Drosophila melanogaster: one gene and its partners. Changing the gene in region 1 together with any one later gene gives a genetic interaction. Each region holds a gene or a part of one and is shown on either strand. Other genes may lie near its edges. The genes, in order: iPLA2-VIA, CG3740, pbl and lace.

Region 1 (6,500 bases):
TCTGCAATGGTTTATCTTCATCTATTGCGTTCGTAGTCCTCGTTTTAAAACACTTTGACTCACTTTGTTATGGATTTTTATGTGTTGGGACGCAGAGCAAAAATTCTTGGCTCGTCTGTATTGTTTGTATTTGTTTTGGCCTATCGATACATACATATGTCTAGTGTGCTAGCTATCGATTGGAAGAATGGAACTTCTGGCGAGGACACTATCGCGATTAGCCAGCCCTGGTAGGCTAAATATTTAAACATAAAAATATTTTAAAAAACAATTATAACATTTTTTAACATCCAGTATTGTAGTCTTAAAAAAATATTTTAATGTTTTCAGCTTTTCATTTCTCTGCCATGAAGTTAAATTTAGTATTCAACAACTAAACCCATTAAGTAATTAAACCAATTAATCTTATAACCTGCAATCTCAAGATCTATAATTTAATGTATGTTAGCTTCTGGACCAGTACTACAACTATTTTAATGGGAATTCATTAAAAACAGGTTTAAACACTTAAAAAGTTTTATTCAAAATTCGTGCTCGACATACTACATACACATTCATTTTCTAACAGAGGCACGGAATGTTTTTATCAATTAAACGACTCAATTGGAGGGTTACGTACAATAAAATACATGGCCGATTATAATACATTAAATAAAAGATTTTCGAAATTAATGTGCTGATATGGTACCCTCTTAAGTCCAATAACACAATATACAAAGCGTATTTCGTTTGCTAATCCTGGAGATGAAGCCTCGGAATTGGAAAAATTAAGGATAATCACACAGATTCTGTTTTGTAGCCAAGTGGTGGGAGGATATCGGTGCTATTGAGAGTGGAAGTCCCAGCGAGTGAGCTGATTTAGACCTCAGAAAAGGTGCTTAATAAAAACGAAGAGGGTTAAACGAGTCTAAAGTACACGGACATGAATCGAAAGGATCCCTCGAATGAGAGATCTCTACAGCAAATGCGGTCTAAATCCGTCTTGCATGCTATTTTAGGAAATTGATCATCTCGATTATCTTATTCCGATTGGCGTGCATATACGCCTTAGTGTGCCACAGCATATTGATCAGTTTTTGGTCGTCCTTTTCGTCCATGGCGATGTCCTCGCTCAGCTGAGGATTGAACCTGAAGTAGGGTATGCCAATCGTGCTGCACCAGGCGCGAGCTCTGTCCACTACTCTTCCATCGGAGCAGGTGGCCTGGTCCACTAGCAGATTGCCTAGCAAGGATATGCATTTGATTAAGAAAGCACACGAGTATATTATAGATAAGGTGCCTTACCAATGGTAGAGATTCCGTAGGCCAGTTTGGCCGTATCCCAGATGCTCTCCGGCCGGAAGACATCAATGTCCTTAAGTTCAGTCACCGGAATATGACCCGTGCCCAGCGACATCACCACGGATACAGGTATGGCCTCTGATTCGCGTCCAGCGCTACGCAAGGCCATATTGTACTCGTGAATCTCGGTCATGGCGTCTAGAGTCGGGTTGTTGGCAATCAAGCCGCCGTCCAGAAAGCGACCAAATGCGCGGAAATATGAGGGCGCAGCTCCAGTAGCCCGAGCAGCACGCCATACCAATTGTTCCGAAGGCTGAGGAGGAGGAATTCTTCGGTTGTCTAAAAGATTAAAATAAAATTAGAGAGCTATCTCGATAATTGGTTGATATCTCACTTACTAATTGGAGTCACAATGCCCAAAATGTCACTGGCGCTCGTATAGTTGCGGAATAGATGTAGATCGACCGGCTTGCGATCCGCCATCACACCAGTGACCATGATCTTCGGGTGCTTAATATCCGTCATCACGTTAAACTCGCCCAGATTGTCCTTCAAAATGGACTCGAAAAACTCGCTGTTATAGGGCCGTGAGCCCACAAAACACTGCTCCTTCATGCGCAAATAGAGGCCCATGCATTGACGCATCGTTTTGCCGCAACCCAGCGCCAAAGCTAGAATTCCGCCAGTACTGGTGCCGGCAATCCAGTCGAACATATGGATAATAGGAGTGCGAGAAAGCTTTTCTATTTCGAGTAGCATCTGTACCAGGACTAGACCACGAATGCCACCACCATCCAAGCAGAGCAGACGTCCGCGTCCGTAGGGTTTATCGCCTATTTCAGCGGCAATGGGCGAGGTGGGTGAAGGCAGCTGCTCCGGACTAGACACAGCGGATTTTTGCGAGCCACTGGCCAAACTATCCGACGAGTTCTCCTTCTTCATCTCGTCCGCATTCACTTTGGTTGTAAACATGCCAAGCAGGGCATCCATTATACTTTGGCCTTTTAATTCTTTCTCCGTATCGACCACGACTGGTTTTCTGGAATAAGAGAAGACTATTTTAATTGTAGTTCACGAATAGTTGATTTACATACTGTGCCGGTTGTTGCTTCTCCAATATTCCATTGGCCGCTGCGTTCAAAAAACCACCCATCATTTGTCGACTGGTGGTGGCCAGCATGTGCTCTATATGCTCGCGCTGCTCCACGGATTCCGGTGCCTCTGGCGGAATGCCGTTGTAGTTACCTTTGGCATTGCAACCAGGCGGGCACTTTGAACCAGTATCCTTGCAGCGCTTAGCCCCCACAGAGTGCAGAATGTATAGGATTTCATCATCCTTATTGCCACTAGCATCATTGCCAACCATGTGACGTGGCGTTTTGCCATCCTTGTTCTTCAGATTGATGTCACACCCAAAGACCACCAGACATTGGACGATCGGCACTAGTTTCTTCTCAATGGCAATGTGCAAAGCTGCATTTCCGTCTTTGTCCAGCACATCGATCTCCGCATCGTGGGCCAGTAGTGTGACAACGCACTCGAACCGATTCCTGGCCACCATCACGTGCAGTGCTGTCCGTCCATCAAAGTTCGTGGCGTTGACATCACAACCCTCCATGATCAGCGCATGCAGGGTTTCACGGGAGGAACACCAGTGCAGAGGAGTGCCGCCATATTTCATGTCCTGTGTGTACAGCTTGCTAACATTGGTGCGCAGAAACGAGGAAACCGTGGTCGGTGCGGATGTCTTGTACACTTTGCGGATGTCCTTGGCATTGAGATTGACATTGGCCCCAGCCAGCAACAGTGCCTTCACATTCTCTGGCTTGTCGGCGAGGCAGGCGACATGAAGTGGTGTGTACCCATCGGAGTTGAGATGATTCAGATTTACCGTGCTTTTATCGATGATAAGCTGGGAAAATAAAGTTTAAAATTTGTTTGAACTATATATGGATTTCTGGCTTACATTGATAATCTCTTTGGTGGTGCTGGCGGCGTAATGAAACACCGAATTGCTGTTTATATCCAAGTGTTCCAGCTTGCTCAGCGGCAGCAGAGCCTTCACCATCTCCATGTGACCCTGTTTGATGGCCAACTGGAAGGGCGACATTAGGGTGGCGGCATCTGCTTGGTCCACGCACTGGAGCATCTTGGGATTGCTAATGTAGTCCACCAGATTGAAGTAGGCAATCAAATGGGACAGCGTCCAGGAGGGATTATCAGCCAAGGCATCGCAAGCTTTCTGCAGCCCATTTACATTGTAGTACTGAAAAATATAGAGTTAAATACATTGCTTCGCATTGCTTTGTAGTCCTCTCTCAAACCTCTTTCACAATGCTGACGAAAACGGGCAGCCTTTGCAGAAAGGCATTGAAGCGTTCCTCGGCTTCCTGCTGCACCGGCGACCGGTACAGACTGAAGGATGTGGTATTGGAATCCGAGGTGGGTCGCTGCAAAATGATCTCATAGACGGCTCGTTTTTCATTGCTGCTGTTGAAGGGCGGTGCAAAGAGGAGCATGGCGTCATCGCGGGCCAGGACTTGAAGTGTCCCCAGCGCTTCGCTCTTAATTTCCACGACCTTATTGGCCGGCTGATCGACACCCAGCAGGCGCTGTAGAACTGTAGTCGTACAAAATTGAAAGGCAATGTCATTAGATAAGGCGAATGCGTTGGTCATAAGACACATTAATACATTCTCAACTAGTCTACTAAACGGTGACACGACATGAACATGAACAGGAGGAGGAAGAGCAGTAATGATTGAAAGGGGGGTGAATACCGAAACCGGAGGCTAGTGCCCCTAACGCCATCCACGCCATGACTCAAGGGTGCGGAATTTGCTGCTGCGGATGCTGAATGTGTACTTTGAACTGGGCCAATCTGATCGGATGAGCTGGCTAATGTGGATGCGGTGAGCCTGACAGAAAAACAATGGCCAGTTGGTTAGTTACACGGGTGTGGGTGAGGATGAGCGAGTGGTTCGATGGGCTGCCAAGAAATCAATAGTACACATCTTTGGCCAATGGGAAGGGAACAGATCATCCGATGGCTCTACATTGCAGTAATGCTGCCCGTTTTTTCGTGCCTTCCCGCTATCCGTTGCTGCCCGACGTAATCAATGGTGACAATCATAAAATGCTTATTGTTCTGTGGGTCAGTTTGCGATTTTTTTTATTGGCAACAGTATTAGCTAACCATTGAACATTTTACTGCTCTGATTTCAGGTTTCCTTATCGCACAATTCCAGTATAAAACAATTTAAAATTTCTGCTATGTAAAATAAGAACTGAGCTGTATTTTTTGCAGCTTTATTAGCGATGTCACCGTTTATCAGTGATGGTACTGCATCAAACGATATTTCTAGACTTTCTAGTCGAGTTCAAACCCCCAATGGTAGGGGCTTGCAAATAAATGATACAAATTCGATTTCATTAAAGAAATGTTGTTTAAGAAATTAAATTAAATTTACATAGTTTTCGAGAATATTTGAAGAAAGCAAAGAAATTTTCTTTTATTTCGTTATTATGTTATTATGTTATTAATAATGTTATTTCAGCTAAATAGCATTGCCACATTGTTGACAATCGATATAGCCAAGTCTTAACAATCGATTTTAAGCACTGATTCCACAGAGCACGGTCACACTTCACTTTGTTCGCCATTGCTAGACAAAAAATTGTTTCGAGCGAAAAAAGTAGCTGATAGAAAAGGTGAAAATCAGAAGTTAAACGTTCAGTTAAAACTGAAAAACAGACAGAAAAGCAGTGCTTCATTGTGCCCATTAGTGAATAGTGTTAGAGCAGAGGTAAGTGGCTTAGATCAATTTGCAGTAAAATCGCAAAAAAATTCTCGGGCCGGCAGAAAATCGATTCTTTTTTTCTCAAACCGAGCGACGCCACCGGCGGCGCAGAGATAATCCATGAAAAGAAAAAAAAACTTAAGGGGTGCTGCGCTGAACGCTCAGTCTGTCCTTATGTATATTTTGCACGCATTTGTGCATACATGTATATAGTCTGCCATGCGGATCGAATTTTGTAATCTTTTCAACGCAACCTTACAGTATTTCCTTGTGCTGCAAACAGGAAGAGATTGGAATTAAAGATGCGTGGACGCGGCGGATTCATTCCACGTGGTGGTGGCACCACTCGCGGTGGCTACTACAATAATCGCAATTCCAGCAACTACGTTAATACTCGCACCCAGGGCAATTACCGACCCAATAATGGCCGCTACGAGAATAACTATCACAACAACAACAATCGCTACAACAACCACAACAACAGCGGCGGAGGAGCAGGAGGCAACAGCCACTACGACAACAGGAGTCGGGACAAGTTCACTCACCACAACTCGAGCAGCGGGCGCTACGAGTCCAGCTCCTCGAGCCACAAGCGCAGCTATGTAAGTTGGAGCACTTCGCACTAACCTATAAGTAACCATTTGTGAGTAATTACTACGATAGCTTCAGAAATATGCCCAGATTTGTTCTGCATTCTAATTAATTTCAATTTGGATTATAATGACAGGGTAGAAATTGAAATTATAATAGTTAGACCACCTTGACATTGGTTTTTCTACATTGTGTATCTGAAAATAGAGGGATATCGCTTATAACACGTACATATATTGATACGATTTTTTTGCAATGCTGATCATTCAGCCTCTTATTATCTCCCAAAGGAGATAAGAAACTGTAGGTAATATTTGGATGCGAAAAGATTTTTGGCACTATATGTAAATAAGACGAATACCAATGCATGTGAAAAATCAGAGATAAGAACCTTTTACAATCAACTTTTGTAATTGATAATAACAGACATTCTGGTCAAGCTAGTAAACACTTATTGGATGACTACTTATCTTTCCTAATTATACATCTGACAGAAAGAGAGATTATATCGAATTGACGTCTTTTCCACATGCAAAGCAAATGAAAAACTATTCAATATATATATATAAATATATTATATTCAACCTTAAAAGTATATATTCTACGAACAGGTGCGTACTTATAAACGGCACACTTATTTCTGTGGAAAAAATAGATAAGAATGATTATAGTATTTGAAATATACGTTTGATGTTAATTTAATATTTTTCAGTGGCAAATACGCTTGAGTATATTTGGCGGTCTTTTTTTTGTTTTCTTTTACCTTTTACCTCTTTGATCAATTGTTACATATTACATATATATTAATAACAAGTCTGTCGCTCTTGT
Region 2 (3,312 bases), on another chromosome or scaffold:
GCAGTGCTTCAGATACTCGGGCTGTTCGGGAGCAGCCGGCGGAAGGGGTGCGGGCGAAGTGGTCGACGTGGTCGAGGTGGAGTGCGATGTGCTTGTGGATGTTGTGTCTGTCACAGATCCCGGATCGGACATGCTTTGCGTCTCGGCCAAACTTGATGCCGTCGTGGTTTCCCCAATGCCCACGTTATCAGTTGTTAGGATGGGAGCAGGTATTGCTGTTCCCTGCTCATCTTCCTTCAGCGGCGCATGGGGATGGGCATGGTGATGATGGCGAGCCTGTGGATGTGCGTGTGCATGTGGAGTAGACTCCTCGCCTAGTGCAGCCGGATCCGGTGTGTGTGCTATTTCTGGCCGCGCGCATGCGCCTGCTACAAGGAGCAGCAGGAGCAGGAGCCATGTGCCCTGCAACGACAACGACAATCAAAGGGCGCGTTAAAGCGAATCGAGTGGGGAAATGGGAAAAACGCCGTGTCGCACGTTGGACATACATATGCAAATATTTGCTACACCAGACGCGTTTGTTTGCAAATCGAATTAGACCGACGAGGGCTTGGCCTGGCTCGTCCTCCAATTGCCGTAATTAGGGTAAGTGAGGCACACCCTGTACGCATAAGTTGCTGGGCCTGCGGCTCTGGGAGTCGGGAGGGTCTTCGGTATCCAACTGGTTTCTAATTGTTTGCCCACTCGATTTAGCGTCTTGCGGGCCAACTGCCAACAACACTGCCATGCTAATTCGGCAATTAATTAACGAATCGTATGTGATAAAAGGGCAATAAAAAGATTAATTGTGTTAGGCAGCAATTGTGGGCGGGTCGGTGTCGGTTGGTGGCAAATTGTCGGCTTCGGCATGGAGTGGAAGTGGAAGGGGGCTATTTCCAGATCTTTGGCTGGTCAAAACAGCATAACAGTTTGGTATTACCATAGGCCAATAATAGGTTTGGTATGGAAAACATTTCCTTTTTGGCTTAAATGTTCCATAGCGTGTGAGGATACGAGGATTAACTAAAGATGGCCTCTGATTTCAAGGCAAATGCGCTTCTTTTCACAACTACAATATGAGAAATACCTATGCTGTATGAGTATAATAACTGGGTGTGGTATAAAATATAGAGCCATGGGTAGTATAACCTCACTAGCAGCACCCCTCCCTCGGAGCAATTTAGAGTGCTTTCGAGATTATAAACACAATATCAGTATCGGCATGCCCATGTCCATACCCCTACCCCTCCTGCTACAGGTACACCCATACACTAGCAGAGCTGCATGCGCATTGGACTTACGTGGGTGTACGCGAGCATGTCGCCTCCGAAATGAATTCCACTAGGTGCTCCCTGGCAGGTTTACTCCTCGACTAGGTGGCGCGGGAACGGAGCGGTCATCCACATCCGAGGAATCGCAATCATACGGAAGTGTTCACAATTTAAATGCTTTGCGCACATCCCAGTCCCAGCGGAGAGGAGCTACTTTCTGGGCGGTTCTGCAGGCTCGTTCGGTCCGCCAGGTGATCTGCCACAGATCCGTGCATGGGAAGAATCGGTCGGGTGTGATACGTAGGTGAAACACAAAAGTATCTCGACTCGAATTGATAAACTACGAACAAAACAAAATGCAAATGTTAAGTGCGCGCAGCGCAGCAGAGCACTCGCTGTTAAGTCTGATGTTAAATGCTCTGTTCGCCGCGGGCAATCGACTTATCGATACAGTGACATCGTTTGCACTGCGATTCGATAGTTGGCAAACGTAATCCGTTGAATCAATTTATATAATAAACACATATATATTTAATTTATTGTTCATCTTTAACTTAGCAACAGGACAGTAATAACCTATAGGATTAATATAAGAAATTTAATGTATGACCCATAACAGGAATGGGTTAACACATAAGGGTTAAGGCCATATATCGATATAAACGTCGATTGTGACCGCCGTTTGCGCATCTCTGAATCTGGCGCTCACAAGTTTAATCAAGTTGCTGTTTTTTAAGTCAAATATAAGCTTTTTAATAGTTCCCTTCAAGCGGATTCCGTGAAATTGTTTATGTTGTCGAGTAGCAAGTTGGAGAATTCAAGACCAACACTAAAAGGCAGGATACAAACGGAACGGGTGGCGTAATCGGAAACGTCATACTGCCGCACGGAACAAAGTCTAAACAGGAAATACTAGCATAGCGTTGCGAAATTCGGGCCAACTCCACGTAGCCTAAATATGCCCATAGATACGCGCGAGTTGATGGAGGCGATAGCCATCGTAGCGGACGAGCGCAACGTCCGCGTCGCCGTCAAGCAGTCCGGCAAGGGAGCGGCAATCTGCGCCGCCTGCTCCTTTGCGGGTGGCATGCTCCTGGGCCCCGTTGGGCTGGCGGTTGGCGGGGCCGCCGGCGGAATCGCCGCCTACAAGATGACAAGCGGTAAGCGGAGGAGAACTCCCGTACTCAGTCTCACTACATTTCCACTTCCCTCCTCCCGAACAGGCACATTCCGTCCGCTGGGCGAAGTCATCCTAAACGACCTGACGGACGCACAGCGAGAGCAGCTGGTGCAGCACGTAACCATGGCCGTGGCCGACATACATCCCACCGACGTGGTGATGCTGCTGCCGCTGATTGTCCAGAACGCCTCCATTCAGCAGGCTGTGCTTAACACTGTCATGTCATTCGTGACCAACGAGTTGCGCATGCAGATTGTGGACTGACCTGCTCTGCGGGCAAGTGGGCGATGGCCAGGTAACTGTAGAATTTGGACGGCTATCTCAGTCGAAACCTTTGTGATCAGTGTAGGTTTATTTATAATAATAAATACTTTATATGTACATAAATATTTGGGTCTGAACGACGGTGGTAGCGAACTACTCCCACTCGACATTCACCTGCTCCCAGTCGTCAACGAACGGCTGGTCGATGGTGCTGATTAGCAGCCCGCAGAATAGGCAATCCGCAGCAAGAATATCCTCGATCTCGGTTTTCAGTGCCGCCCTCTTCCGCTGCAGCTCCATCGCCTGCTGTTTGCTCAGGGCACCTGACTGCGGTTGCGCCTGCGTTTGCACCTCCGCCTCCAGTTGCTGCTTTAGAGTGCCGAGGCGCCGACATTGCTCCTTGGTGAGCAAGGGCACAACGTGCTTCTCCAGGCAATCGCTGTGGAACTTGTGGCCGCAGATGAAGATGAAAAAGGGCTTAACCAGCAGCATCATCTCGCAAATTTCGCAAGTATCCTGAGACTCAACGGTGAGGCTGTGCTGGCGCAATTGCTGCAACTCGGCGGTGACGCGATCGGTTTGCTCCGTAGTCTCGGCCATTTCACGCTGCAGCTCCTG
Region 3 (4,720 bases), 2.0 Mb from region 1:
GTGGTGGTGCTGCCCGGTGGCCCACCTCCTCCCCCGCTTCCGCTCGCTCCCGACACATTGGGCTTGGATTCGCTGGAGGTGTGCACACTGGGGCTCTGTGATTTGTCCTGCTCCTCGTGACCATTTGGCGTTTCTTCGTAGCGAACGTAGGGTTCGAAGCTGTTGTTGATTTGCACAGATCCGCGATGCAGATTGTTGGACTCGGCCTCGAAGAGAATCTCGTTGATGAAACGTTCGGCCAGAAGACGCTGCTCGCGCGGCAGTCGCTTCAGTTTGTGCGTCCAGGTGCGGGCGATGGACTCCTCCTCCGGATATGTGCCAGCCAAATACTCGCAGGCTATGTTGAGTAGTTCGTCGGTGTTGTGGGCGGTGCCTGTTGCCCCAGGACCGCCAGTAGATCCGGCTCCTGCTCCCGTACATGGCGGCGTTTGCCTGGCTCGCTTGCTGCTCCCATAATCCACATGGTTGGTTGCTGGCGGTGGCGGTGGCGGAGCTCCAAATGATTTGTGAAACATCTCGGAAATGTTGGGCGTCTGACCACCAGCGCGTGGTGCTGGATAATGGAGGGCTGCTCCCTGGCTCTCCAGAAACGCACTCGGGCAATTGCTGCTCTCACCGAAGGCGAAGTTGGGCTCGTTCTTAAAGGCGGGATTGACGGCTAGAAACTTCTCCGAGTTGCGCAGAAAGTCCAGCTCCTGAAAGGTCCAGCAGCGTGGACTGTGGAGGCTGCCCGATCGCAGGGCACTCTCCACCACCTTCAGCTCCTTGCGGTAGTTCGTGCGCAGTGTGTTGATCTTCTTTTTCACATCCTCCACGGTGGCGTCCCGCTTGAGATAATGGTATATGGGCACCAGGCGCAAATAGGCCTCCGCCCGCTTCTCCCGATTGGTGTAGTCCCGCAGCGATGTGTCCCACAGCACGGGCAGATCCCTGTATGTCTGGATGAAGGCGCGCAGATAGTGTCGGTTCTCCTCCGCTCCCGACATCACCTTCAATCCGTGCGGCGGCGTTTGTGGCAGCATTTTGCGCGGATCTCTGGATTACCCTCTGCCAATCCACGCCAGCTGCAGTCCTTGGCTATCTTCACCACTTCAGCGAATCCTGGATGGACCTATTGACCAACTGTCAATGCGAACGAACTGTGTTTGTTGTAATTGCGCGTTTGACAGATTGTTTGCCATATTGACGTAATGGTTGTGTGCGAGTGTGCGTGAGCGTGAAGATACAGCAACAAGTGCGGACGTAGTGGCAATGCTTGTCACTGGTATCGATACTTCGCCAGCAGTATTTATCGGTCAACTCGTTGTTATCAAGCGCGTATATTTAAACAAAGTAGCACAAAAGCAAGTAGTTTTAGGCATTCATTTATTAAATATATGAGCAAGCATACATAAAATTAACTGTAGCTTATATAGCTTGCATGAAAAATATGATTGGAGGCTACAACTGCAACAATAGTAGGATATTACCAAATTTAATTTATCGACAGGCCAAAAACAACTTAAACGAAGAAAACAGTTCTAATTGATTGTTAATATAGTGCAGCTTACAACTATTTTATAGCCATAGTCGTTTAATTTAGTTATATAGCATTACAGGGAATACCTTCAACCCCTTGCAAGTGTGACCATTATTTAGCGCCGATTGATTCTGGTATTTCGTTCATCACATTTGCGCGTATTTCTTGGCGCCCCCGCGACGGTTACACTGCGCGGCACACTACAGCGAAAAAAATTCGAAACAGACGCGTTTGTCCGTTGAGTTTTGATTTGTGATTCCGACGCGCAGCCGTTGAGCGCAATTCGCTTACATTGTTGATCATTTTGTTGGTTAAATTGCTAAAGCAGGTACGCGGTATCGCTAACAAGAGGACGAAGAACCGGGCGACGCTGCCTATGCGCGTCTGTGTGTGTGTGTTTTCGTGAGCCGCCGCTTTTTAATTAAATAATAAATAAATTGTAACAAAAAGTAGAAAAACAAACAAACATGGAAATGATGCGCGCTAAATGCATGAAAACAGCGTCCAGTTAATGAAAGTAAACGAATCGAGTACAAACGAATTATTTGTCTCCTTGTGCGTTCGTTCTATTGTGTTTCGAGTTCTGTTGGTGTGTGTTTTTGTGTATGTTCCACGAGTTGTTCGCCTTAAAAAAGTAACTGCAGAAGATCCATGGAAATGGAGACCATTGAAGAGCAATCGAAGTGCGGTGAGTACTGAAAGAGGGCGCGGGGCGTGGCAGCTCCAAATGGCCGGCGAATTTATCATTTTTCAATGTCGCCCAAAGGGGTTGGGTACGGGGTAAAACCACATTCGGGGCCAAAAGATCCTCATAAAAAATGTCGCTGCCAGCAAATGCAAAAAAATAAAATGAAATAACAACGACTATAAGTACATCTTTGTGTGTATTTGTGTGACTAAAAAAGCAACGGCATCGTGTCGCAGATATTTTAATCTTTTTTTCTGAATTTATTTCGGTGTAGAAAATATTTATCGCATAAATGCGAAATGCCTCCCTCTCTTCATCATCGTTTCCCCTCACTCTCCCTCTCTTCGGCGACACTGTACCGACAGCAAGAACAACAACAACAACTGAGGCGCCCTAACTGTTGTGAGAGTAAAAAGAAAGGACAAGCAACAACAATTTAAGCGATCAGTTCCTGTTATCATTGATGCGAATTCAGCCGTTTTTAGCCATGGAGTTGTAGCTATAAAAGAAAGTAAACAAGAAACTATCGAATCTTAAAAAAGTAAACAATTAACAAAAGATAGATTTAGGTATTGATGGGAAAGAGAAATCTCTGCTATAAAGTTTTTATTATATTTTTAACATTTTTATTTAACTAAAAACAAAATTGTTTCTAGGCAATTAAAATTGTTATACTTTCCATAAGCCTACGATTTCCGCAACGAGAACGTGTAACTGCAAATACCACACAATTTCAAAGGTTATTGCCTTAAAAAATACGTGTAAATATGTTGTACGGCAGGAATTTTTCCAGCGCGCGGCATAAACAAATAAAATTATCATTTAATGTATTTTGTGTCCGAATTTGAGGCGCAAATAAAGCATATATCAATTAAAAGTTTATAATTTGGTTAGGTTATAAAATCAATTCTCCTTTGATGTTATTTAGCCTTTAAATGTGCATATGTATGTAGATACTTTTGAAATCAACTCTACATGATATCTTTGTGTACTTATTCTGTCTGCTCCGCTCTAATACTTGCCGCCAGGTAAGAAGAAGAATTTATCCTGCTCGACAGGCTCTTCGCTCCTTCTACTTCCTCCTCTTGTTGCACAGAATCCTTGATCCTTGCTTTCCGGGTGGTTTACCTACCCCGCTGGCCGATTACCTCGTATTCCATTTACACATGTTGACAGGGCGCACATGCCCATACAACTATGACTATATAGCCTGTAGTCCGTGTTTTCCGTCCCTCAATGCTAATGGCATTTTACATGGCCCGCAGACCTTCGGAATCTGCTCTTCGCCTACGTCAAGGCTTCCGCGGGATACGTACGTAATTTTATTACAAGATTTTTCTTTGATGACTCTGCTCTGCTATTTGACAAAATCCGCTACACAGCGAGAAATTGGTTGATTTTATGTATAATTTAAACTTGCAGGTAAACTGAGGTTTTTTTTTCTAGAGATTTAAAGTAATTTTCTAAATATTATTCCAAAATTACAAAACGTCTTTCGTTTAAAACACAATTTTTTTACATAAAATATTTTATTTTTGGATTTCATTGTCACTTAAAAATGCTTTTAGGTCTAGGTCAAAAGCAATAGACACGAGAATTTAAGTAAAAATCAAAAATTGTCATTTTGGGTTAACTATGATTTCGCATAGGACATTTTTCGCTGCGTGGCTGAATGCCCAGAAACCCACACACACAGCCCTCTTCTTCCGATGGCTTTTCATTTCTCAGATGCCACTCAATTAGTTTTTCATCGTTTCCCTGGCAGGCAGCCAGCGAGGAAAAGTAGAAAATAAATAACAACAGCGGATTTTGTTCGGGCAAAAAGGAAGGAAATTCCCGAATGGCGAAAAATGGTGGCCGCCACCTGTGAGTCTCGGCACTTTCTCACACTCGGAAATTTTGCTTACCATTTTGCGTTTACCTTTTCTCCTGACCTCACTTACATACCTTCTTCTTCTTGTTTGAACCGAAGAAGCTACCACCTGTGGCCATGCAAAATGCGATTTCAGGTGTTCCCTCAGCCTGAGCTCGTCTTGCATTTAGTTATGTTTTAGAGCCCGATCCTTGAGGATCTGCGAACAAAATGTTACACTTACCGCTGGTGCAGTTCAACTTTGGCAACCATTTGGGCAAAAAGAGCAACAAAGTGGTCACGGTTCAGCGACAATCCGCCTCCTATTTCACATATGCCGCCGACGAGGAGGTCAAACAGGCGAAGCTTCGACAGGCCGCCTTGTGTCAGGTGTACGAGGATTTTACAGGTATTTCAAGATTCCCAGATAAACCCCTTCAGGTACTCGTTTCCAAGGGTTGAATATGCGCAAAAGCAAGAGCAACATATTCGCCAGAGGGAAACTTAAGTAGGGTAAAGTCTTTCGTGAATCATCCATCCATTCAGCCAGACCATCGACAAACACCTGGGAAAGGTGCAGGAACAGTAAAAATAACTATGTATTTCATAAATAAATATATTACTTTCCGAGGAAAGCATTCGATGTCATGTTAAGGTGATA
Region 4 (7,614 bases), on another chromosome or scaffold:
AAGCATTAAGAATCTTTGACAGAAATTGGCTAGCTTTGAGATACAATGCATTTTTCTCCGTTTTAGGGATTAACTTGGCATAGAAGTGCAAAATATAGAAATAAGTAATAATGATCGAAGTCAACAAATTCATGAAATTTTCAACTTTACATTATATACTTTCAATGTCATGAGATTGTCAAGTGGAATATAAAAATCCTATTTAATTTATTATACAATATTTACATGTTACTAAAATAGACCAAGTAATAATATATGCTATATTTTAGAATATCCTCATCCTTGATTAAGTGCTTTGAGAAATAAATGAAACCTTCTCGAAAAGGGTATGTGATTTTCCCTCTGGCATCGGCGGAAACTTTTGCCTTCAGGGTGCCGCTGGCGTCGATCGGCAATCGCTGGATGAAAACCCGACGTGACCCGCTTTCTGGGCCTGCGGCTCAAAGGGCTTCAGCCCTGACAGTAGCACCCACTTTGGTGACTTGGACTCAGATTGGGTTTCAAATTTTTGGCATCTCCGGCTACGACAATTTGGCAATCATTTGCATATCGATGTAGCGATCGGTGCAGCTTTTGCCGGGGAACGTGTTGGCATTTTGCAGAGGCTACATCTGCCACAAAAGCTTCCAACTCAATTAGAAGCCTTAGCGTCGTTTTCATGTTGTTTACCCACAGTTGGGATGCGGCGCATACTGAAAACGAAACTGAAATGCGAGTTCAATGTTTTGATTTTGAAATGGGCTCTGAAAATCCTTGAAAAGTGTCATCGGCCGGCCACAGCAGATTAATTTACAAAATAGTCGAAATTCTTCCGCAATAAAATGTGAAGAAAAACAAAAGCCTGCGGTATGGAGATGATCTATTTATGAGGCGAAATCCACTGCCCGAGACGTGTCTCCTTGCGGCAAAGAGTCAACGCACTTCGCAGCTCATGAATTTTACTACAATTGCCGCTTTACGCACTTTTATCTGAATATCTGTTGCCTGAAATTCTGTTTTCCTCCTTTTCTTTGTGCATTTTAATCTAATTTATTATTGCCGGCGAGGCGGAATTTTTCTTTGCGTAAGTTTTGGACCGATTTTAATGCTCAAGGGGAAAATGCTTGACGTGTTAAGTCTGAAAACTTGTGGTTTCTAATATGTAATGGAATATAAAACATTATTTTTTTTAGCTTATCTCCCACTTAAATGATACATTGTTGAACCCTCGTATCATATATAAATTTATATATTTTCATTAAATTGCTGTCAAATAATTTAAGTTGAACCCCTATGTGACTAAAATAGAAACCATTTTAGTTTAAATAAATTTCTTTGAAAATCTAATTAATACAAAAATCTACTTCTCTTTTGCGACATCTGGCGCTCAGAAAGTATACTAAACAGCACTGTGGCTTGAACTGCTTGCATGGTGGAGGTATTCGCTAGGAGCTGGCAGTACTAAAAGCAGAGAACACAACCGGAAGCGTTATTCCACAAAATGTGGCCTTTTAAATTATATGTGAAAATACGATAAGTACCTTAAAATACCGAAGGCGCGCAGTTTTCAGTATAACAGCTGGCCGAGTAACTGGCCACACCATTCCAATTAGAAAGAAACCTATTTAAGCAAAACGCATCGATCTCTCCGTAATTTTTTGTCCGCTGAGTAATCGGAAATCGGCAACGGAATAATGGGCAATTTCGACGGCGATTCTGGAACGGTTTTCGAGCAGAGCTATGCGACGACCAACGGAAACGGAAAGGTGCCGAATGGCAATGGGGCGGCAGATCTCAGTGCCCCGGAAAAACAGGAACTTCTCCGGAAGTTCTCGGCACCCGCGTACACTGAAATTCGCACGCGACGCTGCCAGCCGAAGCCCGCAAACGACGCCCAGGTGAGCCAGGCATTTTCGCTCAGTGTGCGGGGTGAAACGCGAGTTAAACACTTGGACGAAACGAAAATAACGAGCTAAAAGGCCATAAAAATTGGCCAAAAATGTGGTTCCATAGCTGGTTCCATTCACCCTCTCGCTCGCTCTTCCAGCCGGCGAATTATTGATTTTGTGTGAGAGCGAGGGAGCGCGCATAAGAGAGAGGGAGAGAGAGTGAGAGTGAAGGCGTGCGTCAGCTGGAGAATTTCGGCCCAATTTTTGCTGCCCTTTTTGGCGATTTTCCTCCGCTTTTCCCGCTTCTGGGTCATCGGGCAGCCACAGCTGTTTTCCCTCCACTGCAGTGTTTTCCTCGCGTGTTTTCCTTTTCGCCGCGAGTGCTGACCATTTGGCGTATTTTGGCTACTTCCGGATGATAGAAACTATTAGAACTCTGCGGAAATATCCTATCATCATATACGATCAGAGAGTTATTTCATAAATTGTGATCATGAAAGGCAATTTGTAGTGTTGGAAATTAAAGTATTGGGCAATATTATTTCACTTTCATTATTATAATTTTAAGTAGTCTATACATTCCTCTGAGATAGCTATCTTACAATTGACTAAGCCCTAAGATAAGAACATCAGCATGTTAAAGTAACTTAGATTTCAGAAATTTCATAATACCTATTTTAGATGTGCGTTAAACTGTTTGGTACGCTAGTCCATTTTACCACATGCACTCTCTAATCTAGCCATTGTCTCTTCTTCGGCACTCCTGCACTCATTCGAAATTTTCCTAGTGACTGGAGTACGACCCCAAAGCAAACACACACATAAGTACGTAGTTTGGGTGCACAATGTGTGTGGGGAGAGCGGCACAATGCTGGTCTGGTCATAATATTGTCATGCCACGCCATGCCCGGCTCGCCTTATCAGGCCCATTCCACCAGTCTTTTACGTAAAGCCTCGCAGAATGCGATTCGCTGGTGAATCACAATGCTCCGCAATCTCCGAAGGCAGCGGTTTTGGGTGGGCGTTGATTTGTCGGTGATAAGAGTTTTGTTTTAAAATTCATGGACTCTCCCTGCGTCTGGGCTGCCAAAGAATAACTGTTGGCGGGTATACTTAACCGATTATCATATTTTTTATTATTCATAACTTTTTAAAAAGATAAGATAAACATATTATAACATTACATTCATTGGGTAATTCCGATACAATTCGATCTTTGGGGAGTGAGCAATTGTTAGTTTTCTTTTAAGTACCTAAAGATTTCATTATTGGTAGCTTTGTATTTCTTTTTTTCGGAAAGTAATACAATGGTTTACATAAAATTTATTTAATGAAATAGTTCCGTACCATGGCGACAACTTATTGAAATCATTCAGCTTGATTTAATGGCAACTAAAGACCTTTTCAAATTTTTAATCACACGAAAATAATGTTAGCGCGTGCAAGTCTCATATCTCCAATATCAACGGATAGAAAACTTTTATCAGCTCGGCAAGATTACAGTATGCATGATTTCAAAGGTAAAGGCTTAAATAAAAAAGAAATACTTAAGAATATGAAATTGCCAAAGCAATTATCTACTGACTCACAGCTAATACTTCTTGGAATCCCCACAAAATCGGTTAGAACTTGGCGTGCGCTGGTCGATTGTCAGTCGTTATCTTGGACTCCATGGATCCCCAACATATGGAAGTCATTATCTGGATCCCACACCATGCTCCCTACTTAGCTGTCCTTCTGTACGCGACCCATAGCGTAATTAGTATTACACTTTTTCTATTTATTTATTTATGTCGGTTTCGATTTTGATCTTTCTACGGTAGCTTCGAGCTCGTCTATATACCCTAACACTGGGACTCCATTAAATAACTAGGCATCGCGTAACCCACTTGACTTTTCGCTCCCCGCACTCCGTCTCATCGTATTTAGTAAACAAGCCCGGTGGCAAATGATAATAAACACGAAATATTATTGTCGCCGACTCGTTATTGTTATACGATTAAGCTGACGTTCAACTATATATATTTTTCGGAATATATATCTGCAGTTTGTGTTGCTCAGTTAATGAGATATATATATGTCTCGTATCGGATCCTTTGGCCAGCAAAATCAATAAGCAAATGATATATACACTTAAATAAGTACGTTAATTATAACGCTCTATTTGTTAGCTGGTGAGGTTGAAGTGTGCCAAGTTGGGCACACAAATACTATATACATTTATGGCTTCCCCTGTATGATTTTTGTGTCTGTCTCTTTTTGTGTGACTTCATGTCGAACTCGGCTCATGTGAGCGGTGGAGCAAATTGTTCAGCAGTTATCGTGTGATTGTATTTATATATGTACATACGTACCTTGCATATATGGATCTTTTAGTTAAATGTTAATTGACTGATGAATTGACTGAACGCATAGAAAGGGCAAGCAAGTGAGAATGTAGAATTTTTCATTTTTTTATAAAAGCGTTTACGCATGAGAACTATAAGTTTTGATATACATACTCGTATAAATGGGTATTACTGTGCTGATCCCTTTGAAGCGAACATGTTTACAATCTGTCTTACAATTTCCCATCTAGCCCGTCTAACAATATTGATTATTTGCTCTTTGATGAGTGATTTTCAATGGAAATTATGAAGATTCACAGTGATACCAATGATAGCGATAACCAGCCAATAATCGTTCCTCTCCCCTCTTACAGAGTCCCAGCTCGATCAACTACCATCCGGAAAAGAAGTCGATCCCCAATGGGCATGCCTCCATTCTGGATCAGGAGTCCAAGCCCAACCAGGCAGAGGGCAAACTTTCGCCGGAGCTGGAGCACTTCCAGAAAACCTCCTTTGAGGAGGTGCCTTTGCACACGGCCTGCCTTACGTATTTGGGATTCTATCTACTGATGATCCTGGGCTACATCAACCAGTTGCTCTTCGTGCCCAAAGTGGCCACCGAGAAGGGTCGGGATGGCTATGTAGCCCTCTACGATGCCTTCGAAAGCTTCTACTCGAGGTACGTTTACAGGAGAATCAAGGATTGCTGGAACCGACCCATCTGCAGTGTTCCGGGAGACGAACTCACTCTAAAGGATCGCGTAACCGATGATTATGGATGGAGTTTCAAGTTCACTGGAACGGAGACACGTTGCTTAAATCTGGGATCCTACAATTACCTGGGATTTGCCGCCGCTACTGGACAGTGTGCTGATGATTCAGAGGAAAGTGCTCGGAGCTCTGGACTGGCATACTGCAGCTCCCGTTGTGAGCTTGGTGACAACGAGCAGCTGCAAGAGCTGGAGGCTCTAACTGCCAGATACTTTGGCGTGGAGGATGCCATTGTCTTTGGAATGGGTTTCGCCACAAATGCGTTGAACCTTCCCTCACTGCTGGGACCCAACAGTCTTGTGATTAGTGACGAAAAGAATCACGCCTCCATCATTTTGGGACTGCGTTTGTCCGGGGCCACCACCAAGGTCTTTAAGCACAACAACATGCGCGATCTGGAGCGCGTCCTCCGTCAGGGTGTGTGCTATGGAAATCCCAAAAAAGGTGGTCAGCCATGGGACAAGGTTATGATCTTGGTCGAGGGCATCTTCAGCATGGAGGGGTCCATAGTCCGTTTGCCCGAGGTTATTGCTCTGAAAAAGAAATACAAAGCATACTTGTATTTGGATGAAGCTCACAGCGTGGGAGCCATGGGTTCCCGTGGACGAGGAGTTACAGATTATTTTAATGTGGATCCGAAGGAGGTGGACATTCTGATGGGCACCTTCACCAAAAGTTTTGGCAGTGCTGGAGGCTATCTCGCTGGATCCAAGGTATGCTTGAGTGGCTACACTTTCGCATATTCCTCACTTATCAATAATCTTTTATCCTCCCCAGAAACTGATTGACTTTCTCCGCACCAACAGCCACGCCCATTGTTATGCTGCTTCGATCTCGCCACCCATCGCACAGCAAATCCTTACCTCCATGAAGACCATTATGGGTGAAGATGGCACTGACATTGGACGCAAGAAGATCCACCAGCTGGCCAGGAACACACGTTACTTCCGCCGACGTCTGGCTCAGCTGGGAGTGATCACATACGGTCACGAGGACTCCCCAGTCGTGCCCATGCTGGTGTACCTGTTTTCCAAGATTGGGTAAGAATGGGGTCATAAAACCAAAATAACTTTTGTCATTAGATTGTGCGTGGAGGAGCATTTCATTTTTTAAAAGATCAAACGGGAAAAAACTTCAATTATCCTGTGGAGTCTCTTTTTACTAAACTGCATTTTCTCTTTGTAGCGCTGTGGTTCGCACCTTGACGACTCGCCACATTGCCGCGGTGGGAGCTGGATTCCCGGCCACACCCATCATGGAAGGACGCATCCGATTCTGCCTTTCAGCCGCCCACACCAAGGAGCAGCTGGACTTTGCCCTGGAGGCGATAGACGAGATTGCCGATGATCTGGGCCTAAAGTATTCTCGCAAGCCACGCGATCCGAATCCCGTCATTTACTAGAATCACACGCACACACATAGAAGTTAAGCTTGGGGAAATGGTAACCTCCCCGATTGGTAAACCAAAACTACAACACAGTCCAGATAGTGCTAAATCAATCACGAACGGTGGCTTACATTGACCAAGTTTCAGTTGCACTGGGCTTCTATTTATGACTAATTCTCTGGTTATATGCCTTAAAAGGGAAGATCACTACAGCAACAGAAACAAAACACTACAGCACATAGCTTAAATGATAAAATATTATTAATTATTTAGCATTTACCTCTACGTAGTTGTTATTGTATATGTAAAATCCAATCGTCTTCTTTGGTCGGCTGCTGCATTTTAAGTATTTATAGAAGAGAAAATGACAGCGCAATGTATTGGGCAAATCAGGGTTTGGTTACTTTTATAGCTAAGCTAAGGGAAGCCCCTTTTTCGTGGGAAAGCCTCGAGCACCTCGCTTCTACCAATTAAGCATACTAAGCTGAGCCAAATGTAACGTCTAAAGAGTCAGCGATACAATTGTAAATCACTATTTGGGTAAGTCTTCGGGGGACCCAAAAATTGGGTCAACTTTAGGGCATTGTCAGGAAATATATATGTATAATAATTATGTATTATTGATCTTATTTTTCCACCAAAAAAATAAAGAAATTGTTGCTTTATCTAATAAACTATATTGGAATAGCTTACTGTAAAAGTATTCACTGTACGGGATTCTTAAGTCTACTAGTGTAAATATTTATTTAAAATATATAAAACTTGGCGGGCAGATGAATCTTAAAGTCGAAAAATGTTTTGCCTTGTATTTTACATAAATTTTGACACAACTTATGCGACCTCTACAGTTAATTTACAGAAGTTGGATACTCGACGCAAATATAAAACACATATGTAGAGAATCCGCTAAGTCTAGGGCCTTAGTTCTTATTTTTGAGAAAATAAGAAGTACAGTGGCCATTAATTAAATAAAGCTACTTCTTGAACCATTTTTAATTAAGTAAATGCCTGACTTTTAAGCGATAATTAGAGATTAGCGATATCAATTAAATCGATATTGATAATATGTTATTTTAGACGATTTGGAAGTAAAATAAATAAAATTTGTTTCAGTATCATTTTGGTTGCACTGCCTCCTTTCTTTAATTTAAAATACATAAACTCCATTTGCAAGGGGTCAAGTTAATTTAAGTTTATGTAATAGGAATAGCAATCAATTGACAGTTCGACTTTCAAATCGTTCCTACCCAACACGATTTCA

What was found.
Region 2: of iPLA2-VIA (region 1) and CG3740, changing one suppresses a phenotype caused by changing the other (phenotypic suppression), as found in Drosophila melanogaster (one study listed by BioGRID).
Region 3: of iPLA2-VIA (region 1) and pbl, changing one suppresses a phenotype caused by changing the other (phenotypic suppression), as found in Drosophila melanogaster (one study listed by BioGRID).
Region 4: of iPLA2-VIA (region 1) and lace, changing one suppresses a phenotype caused by changing the other (phenotypic suppression), as found in Drosophila melanogaster (one study listed by BioGRID).

What each region holds. Positions count from the first base shown.
Region 1 is NT_037436.4:9,859,716-9,866,215, forward strand, and holds iPLA2-VIA (calcium-independent phospholipase A2 VIA), read right to left. Parts: upstream 4,635-6,500; 5' UTR 4,488-4,634; coding exon of another isoform or gene 4,478-4,487; exon of another isoform or gene 4,385-4,477; 5' UTR 4,102-4,384; coding exon 4,062-4,101; intron 3,902-4,061; coding exon 3,606-3,901; intron 3,548-3,605; coding exon 3,248-3,547; intron 3,194-3,247; coding exon 2,376-3,193; intron 2,321-2,375; coding exon 1,680-2,320; intron 1,621-1,679; coding exon 1,285-1,620; intron 1,223-1,284; coding exon 990-1,222; 3' UTR 502-989; downstream 1-501. Other genes in the region: Ciz1 zinc finger protein, read left to right, coding at 5,384-5,683.
Region 2 is NC_004354.4:1,667,906-1,671,217, reverse strand, and holds CG3740 (uncharacterized protein), read left to right. Parts: upstream 1-1,920; 5' UTR 1,921-2,208; coding exon 2,209-2,410; intron 2,411-2,429; exon of another isoform or gene 2,430-2,473; coding exon 2,474-2,694; 3' UTR 2,695-2,812; downstream 2,813-3,312. Other genes in the region: hfw (halfway), read right to left, coding at 1-402, 1,281-1,298; dor (deep orange), read right to left, coding at 2,848-3,312.
Region 3 is NT_037436.4:7,908,909-7,913,628, reverse strand, and holds the start of pbl (pebble), read left to right. Parts: upstream 1-1,674; 5' UTR 1,675-2,170; coding exon 2,171-2,207; intron 2,208-4,290; coding exon of another isoform or gene 4,291-4,468; intron 4,469-4,720. Other genes in the region: CG8281 (uncharacterized protein), read right to left, coding at 1-1,022.
Region 4 is NT_033779.5:15,497,548-15,505,161, forward strand, and holds lace (lace), read left to right. Parts: upstream 1-1,579; 5' UTR 1,580-1,673; coding exon 1,674-1,877; intron 1,878-4,569; coding exon 4,570-5,679; intron 5,680-5,743; coding exon 5,744-6,006; intron 6,007-6,151; coding exon 6,152-6,368; 3' UTR 6,369-7,471; downstream 7,472-7,614.